Regions from separate parts of the Mus musculus genome. Here regions 1, 3 and 4 are each reported to be linked to region 2. Evidence: microRNA targets listed by miRTarBase, many of them from high-throughput screens and not tested one by one. Region 2 holds a microRNA gene; each other region holds the end of a gene's coding sequence. Distances are between the middles of the regions.
The links. Region 2 holds the annotated microRNA mmu-miR-804 (UGUGAGUUGUUCCUCACCUGGA, at 4,173-4,194, opposite strand). A microRNA usually pairs through its seed, bases 2 to 8, with sites in the 3' UTR of a target mRNA and lowers its output. Matches are read on the target gene's strand: a 7mer-m8 pairs with bases 2 to 8, a 7mer-A1 pairs with bases 2 to 7 and ends in A, and an 8mer does both.

Region 1 (6,185 bases), not on the chromosome of region 2:
TGTACATATATCTGCATCTGTGTTTCTATGTGAAGTATACATGCATGGTGTCTGTTATGAAAAATAACACAGGATTAAAGGGCCACCTGGAGGGCCCATGCCAAGGTGTCTCCCTGAGAAATCCCACCATGTGACAGACCTGGCTGGTATAAGGGAGGTCTATTGTGGGGCAAGGGAGGGGAGACAGAAAGGGGGAGACAGAGACAGGGAGGCTGGCAGGGAACATGTGGGGACAGAGAAAGAGAGAGAGAATAAGAAAGGGGAGATAGAGAAGGGGACCGGGGTAACATGGTCCTCTTACAAGCTCCCAGGCCACCCACACCTGGTGGCAGCTCAGGTAGCAATGGAGGCAGGTGATGACCTAAGCTGTTGCTAGGTCTCTGTTGTTAGGTCCCTGGGAGGAAACCAGAATCACCTGTAAGCCAATAGTGTCCTTGGCTTCCTTCCCACAGGCTGGTGACATGGCTCCCTGATATCCAGGATGATATCCAGTGGCTACAATGGGCGACATCCCAGGTTTGTGCCCGAATGACGATGTGCCTGCTCCCCTCTACCAGGTAAATACTTGGGCCCAGGGTGTGTGGGCCAGATAGGCATCCCTCCCGGTTGTTCCCAGAGCTCTTAGGGTCAGAGCTTGGGTGGTGACAGCCTTAACAAGCCAGGCTCAGCCGCCTGTCCCCAGCATGCCATTAAAGAAACCGGTAGCAGAGAAAGCAGGTTTATTCGAATATAAAAAGGTTCAAGCCCCCACCCGGTTAATCTTTAAGATACCAACAGGAGGCTTAAGTTTAAACAGAGTTACACATAAACAGTCTGAATCAGGGCGTGGTCCTGCCCACCATTGTCTGGGCTTCAAGGTTCCTTCTTTCTCTCCCTAGCATGAGATTCCTGGGACAATCCCAATTCCTTGGCCTCCATTGTATCAAAGGGCTGAAAACCAAAGGGAAGGCACAGCTGTCTCTTCAGCATGCCTCTTCTGCCAGAACCACTGCAAGGTTTGGTGCTCAGGCTGTGCAAACATTCTAGCAATGTTTGACTCAGTGTCAAGCAGGTGACAAGGAACATGGTGCTGTGTGGGGGGAACCCATGGCCCAGGTGAGGGCTTATTGGTGGGTGAAGCTGTGGGTGTTCAGGTGGTGGAGAAGGCCTTAAGGGATGGGACTGACACCTCAGCACTGAAGGCAGGAGGAAGCTGTGGCTCTGGGTTGCACCCCTGCCTGGCTCCACCCTCTCTGGCATCTGTAGAAGTTACAGCTGGTTCTTCCTCTCAGCCCCATGCTCCCAGAAATAAGACTCAGACCCAAATTATAGTTACAAATACCTTGGCCATATAGCTAGGCTCTTCTCAGACTAGCTCATAACTTAACTCATTAATTTTAACCTCCATCCTGCCACATGGCTGGTGGCCTGTGCTCAGGTACCATGAGTCCAGCTCTTCACATCTTTCCGGATGAATCTTCCATAATTCTTTCTGCCTCCTGGATGTTCCACCTTCTATTCCACCTTTTCCTATAGGCCATGGTTTTGTTTTTGTTTTTTTTTTCCAAATTTAATTTAATTAATTAATTTATTTATTTTTGGTTTTTCGAGACAGGGTTTCTCTGTATCGCCCTGGCTGTCCTGGAACTCACTATGTAAGCCAGGCTGGCCTCAAACTCAGAAATCCGCCTGCCTCTGCCTCCTGAGTGCTGGGATTAAAGGCGTGCGCAACCATGCCCGGTGTGGTTTTTTTTTTTTTTTAATTGACAGGTGGATGCATCTATATAATCCATAACATATTCTCTCTACAGGTATCTATTAGGTTTTGGGTGAGGTGTGGAGTTCTAGGGAACTCTGAGAGAAATTCCTGGGGAGTAAGTGGTTTATCAAGTTGATTGGAGGAGTTTTTAATGCTATGGACAGACAGACAGAAGGACAACAGCATAGTCGGGGCTACCAGGGAGTTCAGGCCCCGGCATCGGAGATAGAAGCAGGATGGGGTCTTTGAAGAGATTCTGAGCCCACACAGCAGAGGAGGGACTCTCTCTTTAGAGCTTTTGAGGATGAGGGAGGTTGACTGCAAGAGCCTACAGCCAGGCTCGAGGCAGGCAGGGGGTGGGGAGCAGGATGTAAACCCCTTCGATGCTGACAGACTCACTTCTGGGGTAAAATATTATGAGATGCCTGTCAGTGTCTGTGAAGAGACCTGAGCAGAGTCTGGATTCTGACATCAATCATGTTCTTACAATACTGAAGACCTGAGAGCCTGCAATCTTGGTTTGTAAATTGCTGGTCTCCGTGCTTCCAGTGAACTTGGACATTCTTCTCATGGTTGGTCCAGGAGAGGCCAAAGCTGAGGGCACCCTGCCTTCCACCCCCAGTCCAGCTTGACCTTTTATCTGGAGCAACAGTGTCTAGATGATGGGTGGGTGAGGGGTGCTATACTGTCTGTCCCTCTGGGAAGGGTTCTGTTACTTTTGGAGGCAGCTAGGAAGTTTCTCTGTGCAGCTGCCCCCTGGTGCTGTGTGGTGACCTCATTGCCTGTGACCCCAGGATCACAGGATCTGGGCTAAAGTGGTAGTCCATAGAAACCAAAGACAATGATTTGGTGTTTAGAAAGCTACTCTTGGTCTGGGTGAAGTCTGGTGCTTAAGGGCTATCACAAAGAGCGTGTCAAACCATCTCTCAGCCTGTGAGTCAGTGGGGAGCCCAAGGGCATCAGTGTTTGGAAACTGGAATCCAAACCGGGCAATCTCGGAAGGAAACTGTTTAGGAATTGTGATGGGACGGGCCGTGGCTGTCTCTGAAAAGGGCCTGCCAGATAACTTATTACTTTTAAGGACACCTTTGGCTCTTACTAATTTATAAAGCATTTTATATAAACACACCAGGGAGTGCATGGTGAACTACACGTATGATCAGTTAAGTGGGGCTAGAATTAGGTAGGGAGAGCATCGGACCTCTGCCTCCTCAACCTCAACTTGCTTGCTTTCTCCACTGGCTCCAAATCTTTGTATAGTCATCAGCCATGACCACCTCTCTCCCTCCCCATCTACTACCAGCAGCGTTAATGGGAATAAGTACCCACTTCTCTCAGGTGTACTATACAGCTGTGGGTGTGGTGTGTGTTTCCTGTAATTCACACTTTAGAAAGGAAACAAGCAAACAAAAGAAACCAGGTGCTGCCCATACTCCTAAGTGTAGACAGTGAAGGTGTGTGTCTCCCATGCCTGAGTCTCCTGGAGGCCTAGTGAGCTCCAGGTTCATGCAAGCACATCAGGAGGAATCATATAATCTCAGCACGGTTGATCCAGATGGGATAAGAAAGGACTCTGGGAGAGAGAATGTGGTTCTAGAGACAAAGTGTCTAGGCTACACAGAAGATAAGACTGTCCCAAGGAAAGAAAAGAAACCAGGAACTAGGGTGCAGCTCAGTTGTCAGAGGACTTCTCTAGGCTTGAAGCCCAGAGTCCAATCTCAGCACCTTATAAACTGTGGAGTGACAGGCAGTGACATCGGCCTGTAATCCCAACACTCAAGCAGTAGAGGCAAGAGGATCATAAGTTCAAGGTCTTCCTTGGCTATTTAGGGAGTTGGAGGTTAGCTCTGGCTACATGAGACCCTGTCTCAAAAAAAAAAAAAAAAAAAAGTAGAAACTTCTGCCTTGCTTTGAGCTGCCCCTTTCTGGACGTTTCTCATCAGTAGAGAATATTCCTGCCACCCTATCAGACAAAACTCCCACTGGTTTGGAGTCTCTCCATTCTCAGGAACACCTCAGGAGTCAGACAGTGAGCAGCAGGGAGCAATGTCTTGACTTGTAAGCCCCTTAGCAAGGCTGGTTCATTTGTTTATTAAAAGCAGGTGTGGGTGAATTTATGCAAATGAGTATGCAAACTAGTGGAACAGCAGAAGGATTGAATGGATACACCAAAAATAACCACAACTGTTTAAGGGAAAAGGGTCCATAATAAATGTGGGGAACAAAAAACAAATAAATGTGATTTTTTTTAGAAAAATGTATTCTCTGTCTCTTCTGCCTCTCCTACAACTAAAAGGGCCTGTGGGACAGCTTCCTCTATAAGTTTGTGTTCTTCCCTGTAGGCGTGCAGGCTGAATGTCCTCCACACTGCAAAATGACTGGGTTGGTGCTGTATAGCCCCGGCTGGTCTGGAACTATGTAGTTCAGGCTCACCTGCTTTTTCCATTCTCCTGCCTCAGCCTTCCCAGTACCATGTTCACACACAACCACATCAGCTTGGAATGTGCATTTCTAGGAAGCGTTGGGAAAGGACAATGGCATAGTCTCCAGAACCACTGAGGGAAAAGTCTGGAGCAAATAACTGTGACAAAGGGCTGGGTGCGCATGTGACTCTCTCTGGCCACAGGTGAGGCCAGCCCTGAAGATGACAGGAGCACTCAGGCATCCAACACACAGGGATAACCCGAACACAAGCTTGGATCATGGGCAGTGTTCAAGGCTTCAATTTTCCCCAGTGTAACACCAACAAGGGGGTAGGGCAGGGATCGTTTACTGATGAAGAACTACACTTCCCAGCTTCCCCTCTGATGGACTACATTTCCCAGTCTCCTCTTGTGAACTAGTAAGTCATTTCTACCTCTATAGAGGGCTTCTCCTGTGGCCATTTTGGCCACCTGCATGTGTGGGTGACAAAACGCTCCCTCATTGTTAATAAACATGATCCTACCTAAGGTCAGACCAAGGCTTGCTCTGTCTTCTCTCCCTCTACAACTGCTTTTTAAATAATCTAACAGGGAGAACATATGAGGGCTAAAGGTATGTTTTAAGTTTAAATTACTGTGCTTAAGAGACCTATATAAAAAAAAAGCCTCTAACCTGTAAGTCCCACTTGGCCCAGGACAGATAACTTCCTGGATTGCTGGAGGCTGTTGTCCACGTAAGATAACTTCTGCAAACAAGCTTGGTGGCCCCAACTGCACAGGATGTGATGACCACATATAGGTGAGAGGTATACTTGCCTCCAGTGGATGAAGGCAGAAAGTACATAGCCTTGTGGGCTTTGCCTTTGTAAGCAATTTGATGCCATAGTCTGGGAATTCTGGGTATGGACCTAGCTAGTGTCTATTGTCCTGGCCATTATTTATTAAAGCTCACTTCAAATTTGTCTCAAAAATTGTGACAATGGTCCTATTCCTGACCAGTGGCACTAACAGACATTGTATGTGCATGATGGGAGAATGATTCTGGGCCCTTAGGGCTTTTTTGTTTTGTTTGCTTGAGACAGGGTCTCTCTGTGTAGCCCAGGCTGTGCTGGGGCCATCTATGTAGACCAGGCTGCCCTCACCCAGCTCTGTCTTTGGGAAGGAAAGTAGCTAAGTACCCTAGATTGCGTTAGGATAGGAACATAGCAATTATTCATGAATCCCTGCATGGTGTCAGGCTCAGATTCACGGGAACATGGGCCCCATCTTTGCAGATGCTTAACGAGAAAAAGGTCAGGAGTGTCCCGGAAGGAGGGGATGGAAAAGGAAGCTAGGCTTCAGTGGTCAAGTGCAGTGGTGTCAGGTTGACTGCAGGTCAGAGGACAGGAACCCCACTCTATCTTTAGTAAACTGCAGTTCAGAGCTACCAGTGGCTTTTATTACATTATTCTTTTGAGGCACAGTAACTGTTTCTGCTACCAAAACACAAACGCACAGCTGTCTTTTTTGTTTATGTAACCGTCCTCACCTGAACACTCAAGAGAGCTCCATTCATCTTTTAAAAAATATGAATCTGGGGCTGGTGAGATGGCTGAACGGTTAAGCGTGTCAACTGCTCTTCCAAAGGTCCTGAGTTCAAATCCCAGCAACCACATGGTGGCTTACAACCATCCGTAACGAAATCTGATGCTCTCTTCTGGAGTGTCTGAAGACAGCTACAGTGTACTTACATATAATAAATAAATAAGTATTTTTTAAAAATATGAATGTGGGTGGTGGTGGTCCATGCACCTTTAATTCCAGCACTTGGAGGCCAGGGGCAGATGGAGCTCAGTGAGTTCGAGGCCAGCCTGGTCTACAGAGCAAGTTCCAGGACACTCGGGCCTACACAGGAAAAACCTTTAAATGAAATATAATGTCGCCAGGCAGTGGTGGCGCACGCCTTTAATCCTAGCACTTGGGAGACAGGCAGGCGGATTTCTGAGTTCGAGGCCAGCCTGGTCTACAGAGTGAGTTCCAGGACA
Region 2 (8,056 bases):
TAGTGACAGTGTGGCATCCAACTGCTGCTTTGTTCTCAGATGACAACTCATAGCCACCCTCCAGGCAGTAACTGACAGAAGGGGCAAAGACTGGCGCGCTCTCTCTCTCTCTCTCTCTTTAAAGAATTATTTTTTGTTTCATGTATGTGATACACTGTACCTGTCTTCAGACACCCCAGAAGAGGGCATTGGGTCCCATAACAGATGTTTGTGAGCCACCATGTGGTTGCTGGGAGTTGAACTCAGGACCTCTGGAAGAGCAGTCAGTGCTCTCAACTTCTGAGCCATCTCTCCAGCCTCCAGCTCTCCTCTTGATGCAGTCTGTGCTGAGTCACCCATGGGATCAGACTAAAGGGCATCTCCACTCACATCAGTCTCCCTTTAGTGTTAAGCCTGTCCTCCTATCTTTTTTCCTGAGAGAACAACCCTCAAAACCACTCAGGAATTTTCATCAGACATTGTGCTCTCAAGGACCTGCTATGTGACGCCATGTTATGAGGGATTATCTAGTAACCCCCTGTACCACTCTGTTTTCTGTTTCCACACATGAGATGGGGCTTTGTAAAGAGGATGTGCAGATCTTGTGGAGAACCTGAGTTTGATTTCTAGCACAGCAAAGGTCAGCTCACAATTACCTGTAACTGCAGGCAGGGATCTGATGCCCTCTTCTGGCCTCCTTGAGCACTGTACTCACATGCATAAACTCCACAGACACACATACATGCATCATTTTTTAAAAACAGAGACAGAATTCTTTGGCTCACAACTGAAGGGTCCAGAAGAATGGTGCTGATATCTTCTGGTCCTGATGAGGTCTTCCTGGCTGCAATATAACATGGCAGACAGCAAGATGGTAGATGGTAGGGGCTCAAGAGGAGAGACCACACAGAAAAGCTATTTCAAGCTTCTTCCCTCTCTTCTCTCCCTCTCCCCTGCATTTTTAAGGCAGTCTAACTCTACCCCAGGCTGATCTAGAACTCACTCTATAGCTCAGGCTGACCTTGAACTGAAGAGTTATCCTCTGACCTCAGCCTCCTAACTGCTGAAATAGTTAGGGGCCCACCATGCCCGGCATTCATGTTACTGCTTTTCAGTAGTATGTGTCAATTATACATAAAGGGGTTCATCCTGACTTATTCATAGACGCACATAGTGTATTTCCATCTTATTTACCCCCTTACCCTCTCTTCATCACAATCGCTAATCATCTTCCTCTTTCCAACTAGCCTCTCTTCTAATTTCACACTGTATGTTATTTGGTATTGGGGGAGGGGAGGGGAAAGAAGAGACCAGGAACCTGTGCAAGCTCAAATCAAAAAAATCATTAGGGCTGCTAACAGGAACATGGGTAATTTATTTACAGGAGCATTGGAACATTAACCAGCGGCTACCCCATCAACCATTAACTGCATATAAGCCCTCAGGGCCTACCGGGCTCACTCTGTAAGCCAGTTTTTCTGGAACTAAGCACTCAAGCCCAGCAGCAATCTCTTGTCCGTGTAGTAGCCCCAGGGCCCTCATTGCTTTCACTGGGCATATCCATTTAAAGGTTCCAGTAGGGTAGCTCTGTAGGAGAGTTGATTTGGAAACTGAAGGGTTCTTTGGAAAGTCAGTTGGATGGTGTTTTGCTGGGGCAAATATGTGAAGGAATGTTTTCCCAAAGTGGACACAGATAAAAGACCAAGGCAGACTCCAGACTCGTGAAGGAACATTTAGCTAAAGCAGACACAGGTAAAAGAATGTTCTCCTAAACCAAGCACATGAAAGGACATGTGGTGGGTTCTTTGCTAACAACATACATGTATTGTTAGCCTCACACTGTGTAGCTGAGCTACATCTGTTGGGACTCCATAGAGAGAAATGCACCATAAAACTTCTGGTAGTGTGCTGCAGTTTCTTGCCACTTCCCTGGCCTTGGGCTGATTGGCAGAGTGATATCTGTTGTGGCAAGACACATGCTGAGGCAAGACCTGTGGAGGACACGTGATGTTTGGAGGAGATAAGTAAGACTTAGCAGTGACAGAGGCTTAGCTAGGTTGCTTACAGAGCTAGTTGTGCAATGCTTGTGGGTCTTGAGTCTGCCCTCATCTTCACTTCCCTGAGAGAGGCATAGCCAAGAACTGGTTTTCCTCTTTGTCCCTCCTGCTGACTCAAGCAGAGGCTGAGGCCTGGCTGTCTCTGCTAGGTCATGCCCGATTCGTGTTTGCTATCCTCATTCCACCAAACTAGACTGCTGGTGTATTGTGAAGTGTTTGTGAGTGGATCGAGCTGCCGCTGCTGACCAGTGAACTGAACTGCTGATTTCCTGACAACCCAGATGGGAGTGGCTCCAAAGAACCTTTCTAAACAAGTCCACTTCTCCCGAATCCTTTCTTTCCCACTACTTCTGGTGGGTGGTGGGCTACAAGGGAGGTTAAAGCATTTAAGAACCACCATTAAGGGCCGGCGAGATGGCTCAGAGGGTAAGAGCACTGATTGCTCTTCCAAAGGTCCTGAGTTCAATTCCCAGCAACCGCATGGTGGCTCACAACCATCTGTAATGGGATCTGACACTCTCTTCTGGTGTGTCTGAAGTCAGTTACAGTGTACTTATGTATAGTAATTAATCTTTAAAAAAATCATTAAAAGTAGGATTTGAAAAAAATTAAAAAGTTACTGGAAGAGTATACAAATATCATGCAGGAAGCCCTGGGCTCAATCTGCCCCCAAAAGTTTCCATTGCTACACTCTGGACTAAGGTTGCACTAAAATTCCTGGAGGGCAATCTACATGTGTTCTAGAGCAATACCAGATTCCTTATGCTCACCTCCCATCCACCCCATTGCCAAGAATGTTGGCTTAAGGTACTGTGTGCCACAGCCTATAGGCTGGAGCTGCTCAGGAGACTAAGATGGGAGGAGGATCACTTAGGCCTAGGAGATTTGAGCCAGCTTAGGCTAACAAAGTGAGATCAGGTCTCCAAAAACCCAAGTAAGGGGCCTGAGATGGCTCAGTGAGGGAGGGGCCTGCTGCACAAGCCTGAGACCCTGAGTGCAGAACCCCAGTTCTCATGGGATTGAGTGAGTGTGGCAGCCTGCATCTCTAACCCCAGTGCTGACACGGGACACTGACACACACAATCTGCAGGGTACAGCAATGTCTGTCTGGAACTTAAGGGAGAGACAGAATGAGTAAGATCCCTCTGCCCTATCTTCATTAATACAACACATGACTTTCATAGCTGGCCAGAAGTCGAGTGGTACCCAACTCCCACCTTGTTCACAGAGTGCATCTCTGGGAGCTCTCTCTCACCTTTGATGTCACTACAACTCCAAGAAGACACTTCCCTGGCAAAGGTGGGGGTAGAAGATCCCTACAGCTTTTTGGCCAGCTGGCCTTTTGACTCTGCTAACTCCAGGTTCAGTGAGACTCTGACTCAAAAAATAGGGTGGAAGACCAGGCAGGTTGGTGCACTTTTGATCTCAGCACTCTAAGGCAGAGCAAGTGGATCTCTGTGAGTCTGAGGCCAGCCTGGTCTACAGAGCTAGTTCCAGGATAGCCAGGACTCCATAAAGATACCCTGCCTTTATGTTTATAATAAGTAAACAAACAAGTAAGGTGAAGAGTGATCAAGAAGATACTGGAGGTTAGCTTTTGGCCAGAGGTCACACTACCCATACTCCCACCTTCCACATAGAAGCCAGAAACATATGATTATAATCCGGCTGGAAGGCTAAGGCAGGAAGCAGGCAGATCCCTTTGTTGTTGTTTTGTTTTGTTTTTCCAGATAGGGTTTCTCTGTGTAGCCCTGGCAGCCTTGAACCAGGCTGGCCTCGAACTCTTGAAACCCACCTGCTGCCACTGACTGGCTCAGGAGGATTCTTACTAGCCTGGGCTACAGGGTAACCTGGGCTATCCTGTCTCAAAAGGACCTAAATCAAAACAAAGATTTAAACAAAATGAGGGGTGCGATTTTATGATTGAACGTCTTCCCTCCCCCAGAACAGTGCCTGGAGCACAGTCAATGCTCCGGAAACTTCCCGTAACTGAACACACTTCACTGTCTACACCACCTCTACCCTAGGAGGCCTGGCAGGGAGGCATTGTGAGTCACAGCTGGCAGACAGGTGGGTGCCATAACCCAGAAATGGGGCCAGGCCTGGGACAGCAGCTTGGGCACCGCCACCACATCTTCCAGGTGAGGAACAACTCACAAGGAATGTCAGGAAACAGTCTACTGGGGAAGTTGTAACCTCAAAGATGGATGTGTAGGGACTTCCAGAGACTCGCTCCATGAGTTAAATCAGGGGGTGGGGGAGAACACCTGTCTCTGCCCACCTGCACAATTCTGTTGGGTTTAATGAAGGTGTGGCAAAGGAAACCCGACAGCAGTTTTCACTCCTGCCCTCGATGGCAGGAGAGGTATTTGAAAAACCACACTGTAGAATCAGCACTTTATAGGTGTTGTGAGAAGAGTTAGGAAGCAAGTAAGATGGGTTCTGGTAGTTATCTGGGCTTTAGATTCCTATCAGTAGTTGGCTAGGAACAAAAGTTAACTCTAGTGTGCAGCATTCTAGTTACTTGAAAGCTAAGTATGGGTCTAGGCTAAGGCACCTACCTGTCTGTCCTATGATGTCATTGATTACACTGGATGTTAATACACGCCTTTCCAGCTGGACCAGGAACATCTTGAGGATAGACAAAGGCTGTGCTTGTGGTATCCTCTGTGCAGGCCAGACCTGGCATGGAGCAGGTGCCAGTGCTAGAATGTGCTAGACATCTCACCAGACAGATGCTCTGCCGAGTTCACACTAACCCTGACTTTGCAGCCATCAGCAGCCTCCCTTAAAGAATGACAACCACAATGTTCAATTTCCCTGTACTGTACCGAAAAATGCCCTCTGGCTCACCTTTCTAGCCTACGTTTCTGCTATTCTCGGAACCAATCCTATTTGTCGGCTCTTTCATGCATCTGGAACATGACAGCCCTTTGCCTCACAGCTGTCAGCAAGAAAAGGCCTGTCCTACTTGCTTGGCTACTGATCTCTACTTGTGGCCCCCTACCTGTGGTCTCTTCCAGCATTTCAGAGAACGTGGTTTCTGGGCCTTTACATTATCTCTTTTTTTGTTTGTTTTTCGAGATAGGGTTTCTCTGTGTAGCCCTAGCTGTCCTGGAACTCACTTTGTAGACCAGGCTGGCCTCGAACTCAGAAATCCACCTGCTTCTGCCTCCCAAGTGCTGGGATTAAAGGCATGTGCCATCACTGCCCAGCCCTACATTATCTCTTACACACCTACATCCTAGATAAAGGGTCCCGGGGAGGTAATTTTGGTGAACACGGCTGGTGTGACTATGCAGGAATGGGCTCCCCTACTAGCCTACAACTGCAGAGTCTAGCCTGAGCAGGCCGCTCACAGGCCATTTGCTTTCCAGCAGTGCCACTGGCTCGCCTTCACCATTCCAGAACATCAGGGTTCCAGACACCCGCGCGCCCCGCGTGGCCCACACCACCTTCACCCTGGAGGCCTTTGAGTGCCTGGCGGCGAGCCAAGCGGGCCGCCTGTGGAAACAGGTGAGGCAATTCTGGGTCGACCACTTCTCGCGCCGCTTCTCGCCGCGGAGGCCACCGCTGCGCCATATCTCATCCATGTCCACCTTCTATCTGCTGGACCACCGCACGCGACAGGCCGAACTGGGGCTCAACTACGGCGAGCCGCGCACCCGACTGAGCGACGAGGCCTTCGTTTTCCGCGGCGGCCGCTGGACCCCAGAGGGGAAGCGCGCAAGCGCGCGCACGCCTCTGCCCTCCTCCACCATCCCGGCCTGGAAGCCACAAGTGCAGCCGATTAAGAGCCAGGTGCTGCTGGAAGAGAATAACTACCTGAAGCTGCAGCAAGAACTGCTCATGGACATGCTAACAGAGACTACGGCGCGCATGCAACTGCTGGAGAAGAAGGTGGACGCGGATAACAACCCTGCGGCCCCGGCGCGCTCCTGGAAGAGAAAGATGCCCAAGCAAAGGGGCGCGGGAGTACTTATAATCCAGCCGCGCGCTCTGGAGTCGCGGTGATGCAATAAAGTTGTACCTAAAGCAGGGCCGCGAGTACGCGCCTCGCCTTGCCCCGCCCCGCCCTGGTGGCCCGGGTGGTCCACTTCCCTTGAGCATCCGGGTTTTCCTTGGGTGGAGCTGCGTGTGGCAGAGATAAGTAGGAGGGGGAGTTAAAGCGCGTGAGACGCTTGGGCAGTGCGGGAGAGGGCGCTTGGATTTTTCTCCAAACCTTAGGTTCTGCTTTCCCACACTCTTTGTTTTGTTTTCTATTGGCGAAGACTGTGATTTTATCATACGTGGAATAAAGACTTCTGTTTGACCCAGCATTAAAAAAAAAAAATGTATAGGAAGGGGTGGCGCACGCCTTTAATCCAAGCACTCGGGAAGCAGAGGCAGGCAGATCTCTGGAGTTTGAAGCTAGCCTCTATAGACCTAATTCCAGGCCAGCAAAAGCAACACAGAGAAACTAAAAAAAAAAAAAAAAAAAAAAAAAGCATTGGGGCCACACATAGCATATATGTGTGAGATGGTGTGTGTGTGAGTGTGTCTCAGGAAAGTGAGACATAGCTCAGTGTTAGAGCACTTGTCTAATTTATACAAGGCCCTATGTTCAAACTCCAGGACTATAATTCATTTTAGAGATGGGGTTAGGTATACCAGACTGGAACTCATAATATCCACCTGTCTTTCTCCACTGCCATTTTTTTCTGATAAAAATGATGTGTCACCACACCCAATAGCAAATAACTACTTAAACATGTTTCTAGTATACTGGATGTTGTAGAAGAGCTGATAATACCCAGGAGAGGCTGAGTCACGGTATTTGTGTATTTGACTCTTTGGGGGCGGGGTGGGGGGGCTCTTCTTTAGTGACCAAATGCACATCCCTTGTAGGAAAGACCCACAGTGGGTGGTGAACTCAGAAAGCAGAGGTCATGGGACCAGAGCCTCTGTCTACAGACAAGCACTCTACAGTTCAACCTGCCTGCCAGCTCAGGTAGCAGGTAGCAGCTGAGATTGGAGCAAGGGCCAGAAAAAAAAATGGTCAGTGGTAAAGAGTGCTTTGCAGAGTGGAACACTGCATACATGTGTTTGCACCTGTAATCCCAGGTAGCGCCTGGAAGTCTGAAGCAGGAGGATTGTCTTAAATTCAAGACTAGACAGGTCTACATAGTTGCAGGCCAGCCTGAGCTACAGAATAAGTCCTTGCCTCAAATACACACACACACACACACACACACACACACACAGGAGCTTAATTCAGAATGGATTTGAGGACCCCTTTTCTGAAATACCTGGGACCCAGGAGTATATAATTTTTTTTATTGTTTTGTATTTTATGAAATTTTGCTTTATGTTTTGCCTACATGTGTGTGCACCATATAATTGTCCCGTGCCCTCTGAGGTCATCAGAATCCCTGAAACTGGAGTTAGGGATGGTTGTGTGTAGCAGTGAATTAGTTAAACCACTTTGGCTCCTGGCATACTTGACCAAAAGCTCTCTGGAACACACATAAGCCAGCTAACTTTGATATGCCTTGACTAGCTCAAAGGCTGGACATTTCTAATCCTCCCCATGGCTGTGACTAACATACATTTCTCCTCAGGATTCCTGGCTTAACACCTCCTTTTTTTTTTAAGACTTATTTATTATTATACCTAAGTACACTGTAGCTGTCTTCAGATGCAGCAGAAGAGGGCATCAGATCTCACTATGAATGATTGTGAGCCATCATGTGGTTGCTGGGATTTGAACTCAGGACCTTCAGAAGAGCAGTCGATGCTCTTAACCACTGAGCCATCTCTCCAGTCCCAGGACTAACACCTTCTAAATCTTACTTTATCTTTGCTGCCCTGTTACCTTCTGGGCAGCCCCACCCCCATAAGGCAGCATTTCCTTTCCACCTACATCATTGGATGCTTTCTGTCCTGCAGCTCTTAAATCTGATCCTCCTGCCTCCAACTCTCTTCTCTCTCTCCTGTCCCTGGCCCATGCAATCTAAAGACCCACCTCTCCTTTTCTGCCC
Region 3 (8,056 bases), 27 Mb from region 2:
ACACCACAGTCACAGTTTCATAAAGAAGTTATACGTAGCACACTAAAACTGAAAAGGAGGAGTTATACTGAAAAGACACAGTACAATGAATTTTGGTAAAGTACTATGCTCCTTCTGCAGTGGCACAATAGCTGTGTTAAATGATTATAGCTTCGAGACTGAACAGAAGTCACAGAAATCAACACTTAGAAAACTAAAAATTGCCTACTGCACCCACAAAATTAAAGGGAATAAAAACTACAACCAAAGTTTCATTTACTAGCCATTGAAGGAAATCTTAATTGATGATAATTACTACAACAGCCAAAGAAATTTATCCACAGTCTCTAAGACTGTTAGCCTATCGGATTTCTGAGTTCGAGACCAGCCTAGTCTACAAAGTGAGTTCCAGGGCTATACAGAGAAACCCTGTTTTGGGGGGGGGGGGTAAGAGAGGGTAAGAAAAGGGAAAAGGTTGTCAGGGATATGATAGTATGATAGTTCCTACAATAGTAAGCTTGCCCATCCACAGTGTTCCTTCTGAAGGAAGTTACTTAGGAAGGGAGACCTGTCCACTTGGCAAGTGGATTTATGCAGCTCATTTTGCAAACTTTATTAACCAACCACTGATTTTGTTTATAGACAACACCAACTGGGCAAGTGGTGAGGATGACCACGTAGTTGCAAGAGCAGAGTACGATTTTGTTGCCGTGTCTGATGAAGAAATTTCTTTCCGTGCTGGTGATATGCTAAATTTAGCCCTCAAAGGTAACAAATCACAAATAAGTTGTAATTATCTTGAGTTTTTAATAATTGTAAAGGTACTATTTGAAACTGAAACAAAGGACCCTGCTCACTGGCTAACATGCAGATGGTTACCTGAGTTTTGCTTTTGTCTTTTTTTTTTTCCAGATGAGATTGAGATGGGGTCTCACTGTGTAGCCCAGGCTGGCTTCAAACTTATGGCAGCCCTCCCTTAGCCTTCCAAATGCTAGGATCACAAGTGTTAACCTCCACTGACCCCATTACCCTCTTGTCCCCTCCCACCCTTGCTGACCCCCTTGCTCTTCCCACTATTATGAGTCCCTGTGTCAAAACACAGTAAAGTCAGAGAAAATACCCCAGAGTGTTAGAACAACACTTCCCTGTATAATCTCTTCTAAATTCAAACCCTTGACTTCCAAGCTCTGTTAATCCCAGTACAATATACAATACTTAAAGTATTTTCTCAGATTCTAATTTAAAATCTGAAAGACATTTCAAGGCAGGACTATTAAGTAAGTATAACATATACTTATAATACTGTATTTTTACTATATGTTATATTTTATTTACGATAAATTTAAGAATGAAACTGAAGCTAGATACATATCTATTGTCCCTACTACTTAGGAGGCAAAAGCAGGAGGATTGCCAACTTGGGTAACTGAGATTCCATCTCTTTACTTTAAAAGAAAAATGGATCTAGACCACTAATTAAGTGTGCTAGTATTTGCTTTTGAGTGTGTGTGCACATACTATTCCTTAACATAATCTCACTGTGAGACTGATTTTTTTAAATTAAATATTCTCTTTATTTACATTTCAAATGTTATCCCCTTTCCTGGTTTCCCCTTCGAAAACCCTCATCCCCTTCTCCCTCCCCCACTCAGCAATCCACCCACTCCTGCTTCCTGGCCTTGGCATTCCCCTACACTGGGGCATCAAGCCTTCACAGGACCAAGGACCTCTCCTTCCATTGATGATCGACAAGGCCATCCTCTGCTGCATATGCGGCTGCAGCTGTGGGTCCCTCCATGTGTACTCTTTGGTTGGTGGTTTAGTCCCTGGGAGCTCTGGGAGTACTGGTTGGTTCATATTGTTGTTCCTCCTATAGGGCTGCAAACCCCTTCAGCTCCTTGGGTCCTTTCTCTAGTTTCTCCATTGGGGACCCTGTGCTCAGTCCAATGGTTGGCTGAGAGCATCCACCTCTGTATTTGTCAGGCACTGGTGGAGCTCCTCGGGAGACAGCTTTATCAGAAGGCTCTGATTTTGCTTAACATACATTATCATTAATATTCTGTTGGATTCCAAAATGTACTTAAAAGCTGTCTTTCTCTTTCTTCAGAACAACAACCCAAAGTGCGTGGTTGGCTTCTGGCTAGTCTTGACGGTCAAACAACAGGACTTATACCTGCAAATTATGTCAAAATTCTTGGTAAAAGAAGAGGCAGAAAAACAATAGAATCGAGTACAATGCTCAAGCAACAACAGTCTTTTACCAACCCAACATTAATTAAAGGAGTCACTACCACCAATCCTTTGGATGAACAGGAAGCTGCCTTTGAATCTGTTTTTGTTGAAACTAATAAGGTTTCCAGTGCACCTGATTCTACAGGGAAAAATGGAGACAAACAAGATCTTTGATGTGTTTCATGTTTGTGGGCAGGTGAACAATATTTTAGAGTATTTTAAAAAATCATTTCTTACAGAGAAATTAATTTGCAGTTGAATGAAAGCATTTGCTCGTGGCTGTGCCGAGTGTTCTGCTGCTAGAAGTTATGTAGTCACACGCTAGCTGCTAGTCAAGTGATCTGTCTACACTTGACTGTCTTGTGGACCACGAGGACATTTGTTTCACCTAGTTTTTAAGATTATGGAGATAGTTGTCAGCTCCATCTTATCTCAGTCCCTAGGCTTATTGGAACAGTAAATTTGATGAACAGTAGAACACACAAGCTGCCTCAGAAGGGATCATTAACGCTTCTTAAAGTTCTGAGTTAGTTGACTTGAAGTCTTCAAAAATTGAGTGATAACATCTACTTATAAGAACAGACAAAAGGCTAATTTTTTTAACCTTATAAATAAACTAAATAATAAAAATTTTCTCATCTGTATTATGTCCAGTGTTGAATTTACTTTAGGTGATGTGTTTTTACCAGCAAATAATTGATAGTATTATCTTTTATTGTATTTATAAAAGTGTGTTCTTAAGAGGTCACTGGAGCACTGTGAAGAAGATGGTTCTGACTGACAGCTTCTTAACCTCCTTACAGTGTCACAGATCTCATCCTGAGCGAGTCACAATATATAGCTAGATCTCATCCTGAGCGAGTCACAATATATGGATTTTTGTTCTTTTCCTCCAACTAAGGCAGGAGTCCTTTAAGATTATACTTAATGATATAATCAATTCTGGCAGTAATGATTTTTAATCCTGAATTTTCTGCTTCTATATAAGATAATTACTTTTGTAAATTCCAAAATCAGGTTATACATTAAATATTTGAAATATGTCTGTCGGGGTTGGGGATTTAGCTCAGTGGTAGAGCGCTTGCTTGCAAGGCCCTGGGTTCGGTCCTCAGCTCTGGAAAGAAAAACACAAAATAACAAAAGGACCAAAAAAACCCAAGGTAACTGAAATATGTCTGTCACATTGGATAGATTTCTTGTGGTTTTCACTACTGAGACTATAATTTGCTTGCTATTTCAAATACGATGACTTTTTGTTTGGTTGTTTTTTTTTGCTTAATAGTGAATTTTATGTGTTTCCCCATAGAATTGGAAGCTTTATACGCTTGCTGTGAATATACTACAGATTAGAACTGTCAGAAATAAATCACAGAATTCATTTATAGACACTACTAACAGCTGTGGGTTTTGATAAAAAGTGATTTGGGTTTTGCTTCTTTCATATAGATAGGTTTATCAAATAAATAATTCTGGAGGAGTTCATATTAAACCATGTCTAACCCAATATCTGCTCAGAACAGAAGCACTAAAGACTTCCTAGGAAGCCCTTTTTTGAAATGACAATATAATAAGTAATGTATCTTTTCATCTTAAGATAGAGAGAAGCATTTACGGTACTCATTTATCTTTTAGGCTGATTTTTCTGACATTCAGTAGTAACTTTTCAGTTGAGAAAGGGGGTTGAATAATCTACCACTGAGGCATGGCCCTGACTCTCAAAGGTTTTAACAAATATTTACTTCTGACTTGAGATGCCTGAACTTTTCTCATGTCTAAATGTTACTCCAGACATCTAGACTAAGCACTAGGAGTAAAGTAGAAATAAAATGTTGAGTCAGCACTATTTAGGTTTGGGGTGTTGTTTTGTTTTAGAAGATGAGCTTTAAAATAGGATTTGTGACTAATATTTCAGTTGTATAGGAAAGAGCTTAGACAAATAAATGATAAAACTTTCTTTTAGGGTCTTTATTGTTTGGCTGTCTATGCTAGATTATATAGTATTAACCTAATAACTACCTGTGTCCATTCTTTTTTATTTGTTTGTTTGTTTGTTTGTTTGTTTGTTTCAAGACAGGGTTTCTCTGTATAGGCCTGGCTGTCCTGGAACTCACTTTGTAGACCAGACTGGCTTCGAACTCAGAAATCTGCCTCCCAAGTGCTGGGATTAAAGGCATGCGCCACCACCGCTCGGCCTGTGTCCATTCTTTATTAAAGTCTTAGAAAAACAGTTGTAGGACTAGAGTGGCAGAAAGTTTTGTGGTTTAGAGTAAATGAATAGATTGGTCACAGCTCCAATATAATTTTAGGGACTTCCTGAAGTAGCATTACATCACAGGAAACTACACTTTCAATTAAATAATTCATAAGCTACAGTAAGAAACTAGATATCAGAAGCTTTAATTGTATTTTGTCAGCTTGGGAAGAAAAAGATTAAAGGACTATAAATGCATTTTCATGTTCTACATCTTACTCAAGTCTTAGCCAATTATTCATTTACCTGAGTGCAGCGGCTCTTTATTTTATGCTGTCTTTACTGGAAAAAGAAATGAAATACAGTTAAATTTGTATTTTTAATAGGTTGTGAAAATACTTTACTGGAGAATTAAAAATATTTGAAACTTAATTTCTTTTTTTAAGATTATAGCTGCAACAGAACCATAACATATACTCCACACAAAGCACAGTACAATGTGAATGCATGCATGTTCCTCTCTCTGCTAATAACAAGAAGAGTGTTTCTTTTAGTGTTCACATGTACTGTTAGTTAAAACGCATTAAGTGGTAAAGGGGTGTTTATAAGAAGAACCAAAGAACTCTTCTAACAAATAGATGTCATGTTCTAAATGTGATAAGTGAGTTATTAATGGTATGTGATTTTCTTTGGTTTGTAACACTATGACTTTACCGTATTTTCACGTGTACATTTCACAGAAGATTCTACGTTATAGCTGGAGGAAAAGTACTTTATCAAAGATGCTACACAAAACAAAGTACAGCCTGAATGCGTGTGTATTTCTCCTGTGCTAAGAACCAGAAGAGTGTTTCTTTTCACTTGTACACTCTGATTAAACACGTTAGGCGATATCACTGTGTTTAAGAAGAAAACAAGACTGTTTCTCACAACAGACGTCATGGTCTAAATGCAGTAAGTAAGATCAAACATCCTGATATTTTCTTTACAACGCTGGCGTTACTTTACTGTATTTCACCAGCACATTTCACAGAAGTCTGTACAATGCATTATAGTTGCAACAGAAATACTTTACCATAGATGCTTCACAAAGTACAACATGACTGCCTGAGTGTTCCTCTCTGTGCTGTTATGAAGAGTGTTTCTTTTATTGTTCAATTGTAGTTTAAACTCAGTAGATGGTAAAGACTTGTTTTTCAAAAGAAAACTGGGGAGTTTCTCAAAGAAACGTGTCCTAAGTATGATAATTAAGTTCTTAATCACATGTGATTTTTCTGTAGTCTGCAACACTGTATGTCATTTGTTTATTTTCTTTTATTTCCATCATCTTCCTTTTTTCTTTTCTTTTTTATTAGATATTTTCTTTTTTTTACATTTTAAATGTTATCCCCTTTCCTAGTTTCCCCTCCAAAAATCCCCTATCCTCTACCCACTCCCCCTGCTCCCCAACCCACCCACTCCCACTTCCTGGCCCAGGCATTCCCTATCCTGGGGCATAGAACCTACACAAGACCAAGGGCCCGTCTCCCATTGATAACCGACTAGGCCATCCTCAGCTACATATGCAGCTAGAGAGCCATGGGTCCCTCAGTATGTTTTCTTTGATTGGTGGTTTAGTCCCAGGGACCTCTGGGGTTACTGGCTAGTTCGCATTGTTGTTCTTCCTAGGGACCTACAAATCCCTTCAGCTCCTTGGGTACTTTCTCTGGCTCCTTCATTGGGGACCTTGTGCTCCATCTAATGGATGACTGTGAGCATCGACTTCTGTATTTGTCAGGCACTGGCAGAGCCTCTCAGCTATGTCAGGCTTCTGTCAGCAAGCTCTTGTTGGCATCGGCAATAGTGTCTGGATTTGGTGGTTGTTGATGGGATGGATCCCCAGGTGGGCAGTTTCTAGATGTCATCTGAACTTTGTCTCTGTAGCTCCTTCCATGGGTATTTTGTTGCCCTTTCTAAGAAGGAACGAAGTATACACACTTTGGTCTTCCTTCTTCTTGAGTTTCATGTGTTTTGCAAATTGTATCTTGGGTATTCTGAGCTTCTGGGATAATATCCACTTCTCAGTGAGTGCATATCATGGGTATTCTTTTGAGATTGGGTTACCTCACGTAGAATGATGTCTTCCAGATCCACCCATTTGTCTAAGAATTTCATGGATTCATTGTTTTTAATAGCTGAGTAGTACTCCATTGTGTAAATGTACCATATTTTCTGTATCCATTCCTCTGTTGAGGGACATCGGGGTTCTTTCCAGCTTCTGGCTATTATAAATAAGGCTGCTATGAACATAGTGGAGCATGTGTCCTTTTTACAAGTTGGAACATCTTCTGGATATATGCCCAGGAGAGGTATTGTGGGATCCTCCGGTAGTACTATGTCCAATTTTCTGAGGAACCGCCAGACTGACTTCCAGAGTGGTTGTACAAGCTTGCAATCCCACTAACAATGGGGGAGTGTTCCTCTTTCTCCACATCCTCTCCAGCATCGGCTGTCACCTGAAACTTTGATGTTAGCCATTCTGACTGGTGTGAGGTGGAATCTCAGGGTGGTTTTGATTTGCATTTCCCTGATAATTAAGAATGTTGAACATTTTTTCAGGTGCTTCTCAGCCATTTGGTATTCCTCAGTTGAGAATTCTTTGTTTAGCTCTGTACCCCATCTTTTAATAGAGTTATTTGACTTTCTGGAGTCCAACTTCTTGGGTTCTTTATATATATTGGATATTAGTCCCCTATCTGATTTAGGATTGGTAAAGATTCTCTCCCAATCTGTTTGTGGCCTTTTTGTCTTATTGACAGTGTCTTGCCTTACAGAAGCTTTGCAGTTTTATGAGGTCCCATTTGTTGATTCTCAATCTTACAGCACAAGCCATTGCTGTATGTTCAGGAATTTTTCCCCTGTGCCCATATCTTCAAGGCTCTTCCCCACTTTCTCCTCTATAAGTTTCAGTGTCTCTGGTTTTATGTGGAGTTCCTTGATCCACTTAGACTTGAGCTTTGTATAAGGAGATAAGGATGAACCAATTCGCATTCTTCTACATGCTAACTGCCAGTTGATCCAGTATCATTTGTTGAAAATGCTGTCTTCTTTCCAATGGATGGTTAGCTCCTTTGTCAAAGATCAAGTGACCATTGGTGTGTGGGATCATTTCTGGGTCTTCAATTCTATTCCATTGATCAACCTACCTGCCCCTGTACCAGTACCATGCAGTTTTTTTTATCACAGTTGCTCTGTAGTACAGCTTGAGGTTAGGAATAGTGATTCCACCAGAGGCTCTTTTATCATTGAGAATAGTTTTTTCTATCCTAGGTTTTTTGTTATTCCAGATGAATTTGCAAATTGCCCTTTCTTATATTTTTGGATGTGAGTCTAGCCTTTAACGGCTGAGCCATCTCTCCAGCCTGCAAATTGCCCTTCCTAGCTCTGTGAAGAATTGAGTTGGAATTTTGATGGGGAATGCATTGAATCTGTAGATTGCTTTCTGCAAGATAGCCATTTTGACTATGTTAATCCTGCCAATCCATGAGCATGGGAGATCTTTCCATCTTCTGAGATACTCGATTTCTCTTCAGAGACTTGAAGTTCTTATCATACAGATCTTTCATTTCCTTAGTTAGAGTCACACCAAGGTATTTTATATTATTTGTGACTATT
Region 4 (8,056 bases), not on the chromosome of region 2:
TTAGTTTTGTTTTGTTTTTCCTCCTTTGAGTAGTTAGTTTGTGCCAGTCTTGTGCTCAAGGCTGTACTTCTGTCCCTTGAACAGATACATGAAATAAAGTTTCATCTGATGCAGTACTGATGATCCCTTTCTGTCTCTGTTCCCATCCATCACACACAGCTGTGAGCCTTCCAACCCCCATGTCCATGCCCTGGCCCCTCTCCAAGTTGTCTCTTCCTCGATCACATCTTTCCTTACATTTGTCTGATTATCTATCTCAATTGCTAAATTAGATTTTAAAACTGCCTGAGGGGCTGGAGAGATAGCTCAGTGATTAAGATCACTGACTGCTCTTCCAGAGGAACCAGGTTCAAATCCCAACATCCACACGGCAGCCCACTCATCTGTAACTCTGAGGGATCTGATGCCATCTTCTGGCTTATATGGGAATTGCATGCACGTGGAGGCAAAAATACCCATACACACAAAATAATTTAAAAAAATATTTTGAGGGAGGGTTCAAGACAGGATTTCTCCATGAAATCCTGTAGCCATGGCTGTCCTGGAACTCACTCTGTAGTTCAGGCTGGCCTTGCGAGGGAGACCCACCAGACTATGCCTCTTGAGTACTGGAATTAAAGGCATTAACCCAGCATAAAAATATTAAAAACAAAAACCAACAACAATAGGGCTGGAGAGATGGCTCAGCAGGTAAGAGCACTGACTGCTCTTCCAAAGGTCCTGAATTCAAATCCCAGCAACCACATGGTGGCTCACAATCACCCGTAATGAGATCTGATGCCCTCTTCTGGAGTGTCTGAAGACAGCTACAGTGTACTTACATATAATAAATAAATATTTGCCAGCTTATGCCTCCTGAGTGCTGGATCAAATGTGTGTTCCTCCATTGCCTGGGTCTTAGCCAGTTTGGTGTGGTGGTGGTAGTTTGTTTGTTTTTTTTTTAATACTTTTTTTTTTCAAAGATTTATTTAAGTTCAAGGTCAGCCTGGTCTACAGAGTGAGTTCCAGGACAGGACAGTCAGGGCTACACAGAGAAACCCTGTCTCGAAAAACCATAAATAGCTAGCTAGCTAGACTGTATTCTTCCACAGCCTCTTGTTACTTTGAGCTCCTTCCCCACAGCAGAGGATGCCATAGACTTTTGCTCTTGATGATCGCCTTAGCCTACTTCTGCTGAACACATCCGGGTCTGCTGCAAGGATCTGCTCACGCTCTTCTCCCCGAGTTTGTAACTCCCCATCTTTCAGTTCTTGGCTCCTTCAAGACATCTGTTTCCCCCAGCTATGCCAACCAATGGTTCCAAAGCACCTGGAGGGTTTGTTCAAGTATTTTGCTGAGTCAAACCTTAGGGTTTGGGGAGGTTTGGGAGGGTAGGAGGATGTATATTTCCTTAAGGTTCCAGCTGCAGCTGTAGGCCACACACGGAGAACCACTAGACATGTTTTTCATGTCACCCCTCTTTCTTGGTCTGTAATTACACACTCCAAGTGTCTTTTCTGTATGATTCTGAGTATATCTGCCTCTCTAAACCAAGAACTCTGCCTTTAATCTTTAAAATGCCTATAAGCACTTAGGAGGCAGAGGAGGAGAATCTATGTGAGTTCCAGGCTAGCCTGGCCTACAAAAACCCTAAACCATGCATGGAGTAGACTTTACTCCTAGCTCCTTATCATCAAAGCTTAGTGGGCTGTCCAAGAAACAGTTCTGAGAGTCCAGGGACGCAGCTCAGGGGTAGAGTGCTTGTCACACAGAAAGCTCTGGATTGGTCCCCTTATCATGTACACGGGGCATGGTGACACACACCTATAATCCTAGCACTAGGTAGGTGGGGGCAAAAGGTCAGGTCAAGGTTTGTTAGATATCAAGTTCAAAGCCAGAATGGGTTACAAGAGACCATGACTCAGAAAAATAAAGTTTTACAAACATGCTTTAGGCTTGCTAACTGAGCAGGATGTGAGGTAACTTCCTAAAGTCTGAGAAATAGGGGACACGAGGCAAGGCTGTGGGGGTCAGGGCTGCCTCCTGGAGTTTAGCATACTAAACCTTGAATTCTTAGGCCTTGGGGAAACAACTTCTTCTTCTTCTTCTTCTTCTTCTTCTTCTTCTTCTTCTTCTTCTTCTTCTTCTTCTTCTTCTTCTTCTTCTTCTTCTTCTTCTTCTCCCTTTTTTGTTTTTTAAGATTTACTTATTTTATGAATGTGAGTACACTGTTGCTGTCTTCAGACACACCAGAAGAGGGCATCAGATCTCATTACAGATGGTTGTGACCCACCATGTGGTTGCTGGGATTTGAACTCAGGACCTCTGGAAGAAAAGTCAGTGCTCTTACCCACTGAGCCAACTCTCCAGCCTCCCAGCCTCCTCCTCCTTGTTTTTTTTTTGTTTTGTTTTGTTTTGTTTTGTTTTGTTTTTTTGAGACGTGGTTTCTCTGTGTAGCCCTGGCTGTCCAGAGACACTCTGTCACTCTGTCATTCTGTAGACCAGGCTGGCCTCGAACTCAGAAATCCGCCTGCCTCTGCCTCCCGAGTGCCTGGCATATTGCATCATCTTTATGTGCCCCCTTCTATTCAGAAGAAACAATTACACATTTTTCTAGAGATGAGCCACTGAGTGTTCCACAGGTTTAAGTTGGAAAGGTGAAGAATTCCCCAATACCCATGATGAAATGAGCAGAGTACCTAAACATATAGCCCCCTCTCTCCTTTCTTGCTGAGACAGAGTGTTACACCCAGCTCTGAGTAGACATCTTTCATGAAAAAGATACAGATAGCCAGCAAGAGCTGGACAAGGGGCTGGGCCAGGTGTTATGTGCCTTTAATCCCAGTTGGAGGCAAGGGCAGATCTGTGAGTCAAAGGCCAGCCTGGTTTACACAGTGAGTCCCAGGTCAGCAGCGGTACATGATGAGACTCTGCCTCAAAACAAGCACTAAAACCAACCAACCAACAAAAGAGCTGGGCAAGCCTGTACACATCTGTAATCCACCCTTCTGGATACACATCTGTAATCCACCCTTCTGGATACACATCTGTAATCCACCCTTCTGGATACACATCTGTAATCCACCCTTCTGGATACACATCTGTAATCCACCATTCTGGACACTGTCGGCAGACAAAAGTTGAAGGCTAAGGTGGGTTAAACACAAAGACGCAGGAATGTTAAATGACTTTGAGCATTATTAAGAGAAATGAGATGAAAAGTGCGATGGTACATTAATTATGTCACCTCTATTAGAACGGCTGTAATACAAAAGGCAAAAGATGAGCCGTGGAGAGGACCCAATGCTAAGAACACTGCTGCACACCCCTAACTCCATCCCTGGAAACCACAGAGAAATCCTGATGTGCTGGTGTGGATCTATGAACCAGCACTCCTACAGAGAGATGGGGAGCTGTGCTACAGAGACAGTTCATTGTTAGGAGCCTTTGTTGTGCCGGGCATGGTGGTGCATGCCATTAAGCCCAGCACTTGGGAGGGAGAGGCAGGCAGATTTCTAAAACCTTCCAAATCTTAAAAAAAAAAAAAATAAAAAATAAAAAAATAAAAAAAAGATAGAAGACAAAAGCAAAAGAATTTAGTGGTGTTGGTTTCATTGCCAACTGAATGAGTGACTAGCTGATCTGCACCTTATTCTCCTACACGGCACACTTGCATCTGTCCTCTGAGACTTCTCTCTCCACTCACCGGGAGAACACAGTTCAGCAGTTCAGCTCCGAGTGCCACCATAACACTGGCCATGAAACAGACAAGAGCTACAGGGTATCTGCCAATATAAACAAGTTTCCCGTGTAATGAATGACCTGGTCATAGGTCAAAATACTAGACCTCAAATGGCTCCCAGGTAAGTGTTCCATACAGTGTGTGTAATATACCCATACTGCAAACACCTACAGCTAACCACTGCTAACACAGGGTTACTATGTCCAATTTACTGGGGGGATCTCAGAACATCTCACCTCCACATATGCCACACCCAGGGGTGCTCCCTCACCCCCAGTTGGCCCATGCTTACTTCCTTTGGTTTGCTATCCTTTCCACTTTTCTCTCTATTCAGGGCTCCAATATCAAAACTCATCACAGGCTGGTGAGACAGCTCAGCAGGTAAAAGCGCTTCCCACAAAAACCTGGAGACCTGAGTTTGATTCCCAGAACCCACATAGAGGAGAAAGGAGAGAGCCAAGTCCACAAAGCTGTCTTCTGACCTACATTTGTGCATGGTAGCAAGTGTGCACGTGTGTGTGCTTCCCCCACCCCACATAAATAATAAATAAAAATTAAAAAGAAAACCAAGGTTGGGCATGGTGGCATACACAATTTTTTTTTTAAGGATTTATTTATTATATGTAAGTACACTGTAGCTGTCCTCAGACACACCAGAAGAGGGCATCAGATATTATTACGGATGGTTGTGAGCCACCATGTGGTTGCTAGGATTTGAACTGAGGACCTCTGGAAGAGCAGTCAGTGCTCTTAACCACTGAGCCATCTCTCCAGCCCCGATGGCACACACCTTTAATCCCAGCACTCAGAAGGTAGAAGCAGGTGGAACTCCAAGAATTTAAGGCCAGCCTGCTCTACATAGTGAGATCCTGTCTCAAAACCAGAACGCTATCACCATACAAACAACAGCAAAACCAGCTCACCTCTACTGGGTTTCACTGGGCTTTGTAGGGCCAAAGCATTCTGCACTTGCCTGTCATTGCTTTCTGGTCCTGCTTTGCAGGGATGTCACCTTTGCAATCTTGCCACATAGGATATCATGATAAAAGGAACTGTGGTAAAATGAATAAATGGATGAAAAGTGTAGTGAATGAATGATTATTCCAGAGCTCATTGCCCTGTCCTGTCCTGCCCTGCCCTGCTGCTGGCCACTACACCACACAGTCTGATGCTGAAGTGGTAAGAACTGCAAAGGTCTGAGTCGCCCTGAGACCTTTCTTCAAGTTTTCTTCTTGTAAGCACGGTCCGTGTATGAAGGGTTCTTCCTGATAGAAAGACTTCACCCTTCTCTCATGTAAGCCATGCTTTGAGGAGGCGGGGGGGGGGGGGGGAAACTCAGTAGGCATAGCACTAGCTCAGTATGCTCAAAGCCCTGGGTTAAGTTTAATACAGAGGGCTGGTGAGATGGCTCAGTGGGTAAGAGCACCCAGCTGCTCTTCCAAAGGTCCGGAGTTCAAATCCCAGCAACCACATGGTGGCTCACAACCATCTGTAACAAGATCTGACGCCCTCTTCTGGAGTGTCTGAAGACAGCTACAGTGTACTTACATATAATAAATAAATAAATCTTAAAAAAAAAAGTTTAATACAGAGTATCACATAAACCCCCATAATCCTGGCCCTAGAGGGGAAGGCAAGCAGACGTGCAAAATCATCTTCAGTCATAGGGCAAGTTCAAGGTCAACCCAGGCTATACAAGATTACATTCCAGAAAGAAAGAAAGGAAGGAAGGAAGGAAGGAAGGAAGAAAGGTCCTCCACATCCTGACTTTGTGGCTAAAAACTTTATTTCCTGAAGCAGAATTGGTTTTGACACAAAAATTCAAGGAATGGGGCCACTGTTAGGAAGTCTGTCCATGCTGTGCGATGGTGGTGCACACCTTTAATCCCAGCACTTGGGAGGCAGAGGCAGGCGGGTTTCTGAGTTCAAGGCCAGCCTGGTCTACAAAGTGAGTTCCAGGAAAGCCAGGGCTACACAGAGAAACCCTGTCTCAAAGAAAAAAAAAAAACAAAAAACAAAAAAAGGAAGTCGGTCCACCTTTCTAGGTTCTACCCTATTTAGACTAACTCTCCACAAAGCTCTAGAAGTTTCTCCAGGGCCTAGAAGCTACACAGCCCAGCTTTCCACTCTTGAGGCCCCATCCGTAGAAACTCTAGGCCTGAACAACTTTTACTCTGACCTTAGACTTTGTGTTCCAACTTCCTTCCCTTCTACACCCTCCACATACTATTTCCACAGGAAAGAGCCAGTCTGTCTCTGGAGAGGCGTTTCCATGGGAAACAGGAGAGGGAGACTAATAGGCAGCTATGCCTCCTCACAGACAGCAGAGCTGCTCCACCTCCACCTCACAGTCATAGAATTTCTCAAAGAGTTCTGGAGAGGCACTGTTGCATTCAAGCCACCTCCTCAGGGTGCACAGTGCCTGCAGGGCATCGGCTTTGGTGGGCAGGGGCTCAAAGCCATCTTCTTCCCTCCCACTGTCTTCAGTACCCGTCTCCTCTTTGCACACTCTAGGCCCTGGGTCCTCATCCTCCAGGTCCACAAAGTGAGAAAACTCCTCTTGGCTCAGCCCACTAGGGACTGGTGACATCTCAGTGTCTTTGTCCAGGGACAGTGGTGTTTTGCCCGGAGCGAGCCCTTCTTGAACAAAGCTGCTCAAAATGAGCTGGCGAGGTACCTTGGCCCAAGCTGCGGCCACCATGTGCAGAGCATCCAAAACTGTGATGCTAGCCCTGGCCTCCGCCAGGGAGGTGCCCTCTTTCCCACTCTGCATGGCAGCCAGTTTGCTCAGTAGACGGTGACGGTAATGGGCCTTAAAGGCCAAAATCACAGAGCCAGGCAGGGAAGGAGTGGTGCTGGAGGCAGAGAGAGGCAGGAGTCGAACGTGATGGAGTCCAGGAAGGCTGGCCCATTCCTCTACCACTCCAGAAGCCAGTAGCAAGGCTACCTGTCGGCCCTGCTGTCCCATGTCCTGGTCAAACTGTGCCAGCCACTCTGACCAGGGAATGGCTAGGTCAGGGTGATAAGAGGTAGGCAGTGCCTCACTGCTCACCCCAAAGAAGCATCTTGGGGCCGCCTGGAGCCCACCCACAAATACCCTTCGCTTTTCTGTGCCTCTGCTGTTGGCACATAACAGTACTTGCAACCGATCACATTCAAACACTCTGCCAGGCACCGCGCGATACAACAAGGGTACTTCAGCACAGCCAAAAACATCTTCTGGTGAGAAGTCTTTAAGAGAAAGAGGTGGCTGGGCCTGAGATGGGAGAACTGCAGGAGGAGCTTCAGGAGGGAACAGAGGGACAAGGACCTGGCGAGTCCCAAAGCCCACATTGTTTCGACGTTTCCAGCGGACCAGCCAGCCAATGCTAGGCACGAAATCCTGGCCCATGATATCGGCCAGTTCCTTGGCCTTGTGGAGCAACATGGGCCCCGTTACATCCCAGGCCTTGGCTCGGGCAATGTGGTACCAGCACAGTAGAGCCTCATCGATCCCACTGTATTTGGATTCACGCTTCCGCTTCCGCTCGTGGTTGGCTGTGCCACTGCACCAGTCTGCCAACAGCTTCTCCTTATTCTTGCAGATCCGTGAGATCTGGGGCTGTGAGACCTGGAAGCGCCGGGCCACCTCTGACTGGGACATCTTAGACTCATCCAAGAGTTCCAGCACCTGGATCTTCTCAGCCAGGGACAGGGCGTGAAGCTTCTTCTTGGTGTTCAGCTCCATGACTCCCTGGGAAGCTGCTGGGGGAAGAAAAGTAGGAGAGCGTGCCAATGGCTGAGAGCAAGAAGAACAGAAGAGGTCGGGACCCCTGAAGCCAGAGCAATTCTCTGGAATGCAGAAAGCTGGAGGAGACCAGGCCAGCTGAAAGAGACATGAGATGGCCAGGCTGTGGGAGGAGAGGGCTAGACCCAGAAGAGAGCTGGCAGAGTCGAGTGTTTCTGGTCCGAAGTGGAGAGAATTCTGGGCTGGGGTTTGGTATTGATGGGGTGGAAGGATGAATAGAGGCTAAAGCACAGCTGTAAAGACAACCAGGAGACAGCTGCAGGGACAACAAAGGAGCAAAAACAAGGAGAGGCCTGGGGCTGAGGCTGAGCGGGGCAGGTGTAGGGGACATTCAGGGTGCCAGGGAGGAGTCCCCTGAGAGGAGATGAGGAGGAGGAGGACCTAGGTTGAATTTTGATGGCTGAAGGCAGGTGGTAGACTGAACGGACAGAGTCGAGATGAACAGGTGAGATGGTACAGATGACAAAGCCAGATGGATGGTGTCTGAAGGCGCTAGTACAATTCGGCGCTGGCAAGGCGGGGTGGTAAAGCTACCCAACGGTTCAACC

Region 1: the mRNA of Pnpla3 is a reported target of mmu-miR-804. Seed matches in the 3' UTR shown: 7mer-m8 at 1,625-1,631.
Region 3: miRTarBase lists Pex13 as a target of mmu-miR-804. Seed matches in the 3' UTR shown: 7mer-m8 at 4,316-4,322.
Region 4: the mRNA of Tigd3 is a reported target of mmu-miR-804. Seed matches in the 3' UTR shown: 7mer-m8 at 5,670-5,676.

Annotation. Positions count from the first base shown.
Region 1 is chr15:84,185,525-84,191,709 of GRCm38, forward strand. Pnpla3 (patatin-like phospholipase domain containing 3) reads left to right here. Exons shown (of 8, transcript NM_054088.3): 8 at 453-3,997. The coding sequence ends at 561. Among named protein-coding and RNA genes, the nearest start is that of Samm50, 3.6 kb to the right of the region's middle.
Region 2 is chr11:50,353,627-50,361,682 of GRCm38, forward strand. Mir804 (microRNA 804) reads right to left here and starts at 4,253; the gene lies at 4,159-4,253. Cby3 (chibby family member 3) reads left to right here and starts at 4,135. Exons shown (of 2, transcript NM_029691.1): 1 at 4,135-4,177; 2 at 5,414-6,076. The coding sequence starts at 5,628. The coding sequence ends at 6,050.
Region 3 is chr11:23,643,621-23,651,676 of GRCm38, reverse strand. It overlaps Pex13 (peroxisomal biogenesis factor 13), which reads left to right. Exons shown (of 4, transcript NM_023651.5): 3 at 622-747; 4 at 2,087-4,394. The coding sequence ends at 2,385. Among named protein-coding and RNA genes, the nearest start is that of 0610010F05Rik, 14 kb to the right of the region's middle.
Region 4 is chr19:5,885,653-5,893,708 of GRCm38, forward strand. Tigd3 (tigger transposable element derived 3) reads right to left here. Exons shown (of 2, transcript NM_001362045.1): 2 at 5,486-7,465. The coding sequence starts at 7,448. The coding sequence ends at 6,036. It overlaps Slc25a45 (solute carrier family 25, member 45), which reads left to right. Exons shown (of 6, transcript NM_134154.4): 6 at 1-116. Among named protein-coding and RNA genes, the nearest start is that of Tigd3, 4.4 kb to the right of the region's middle.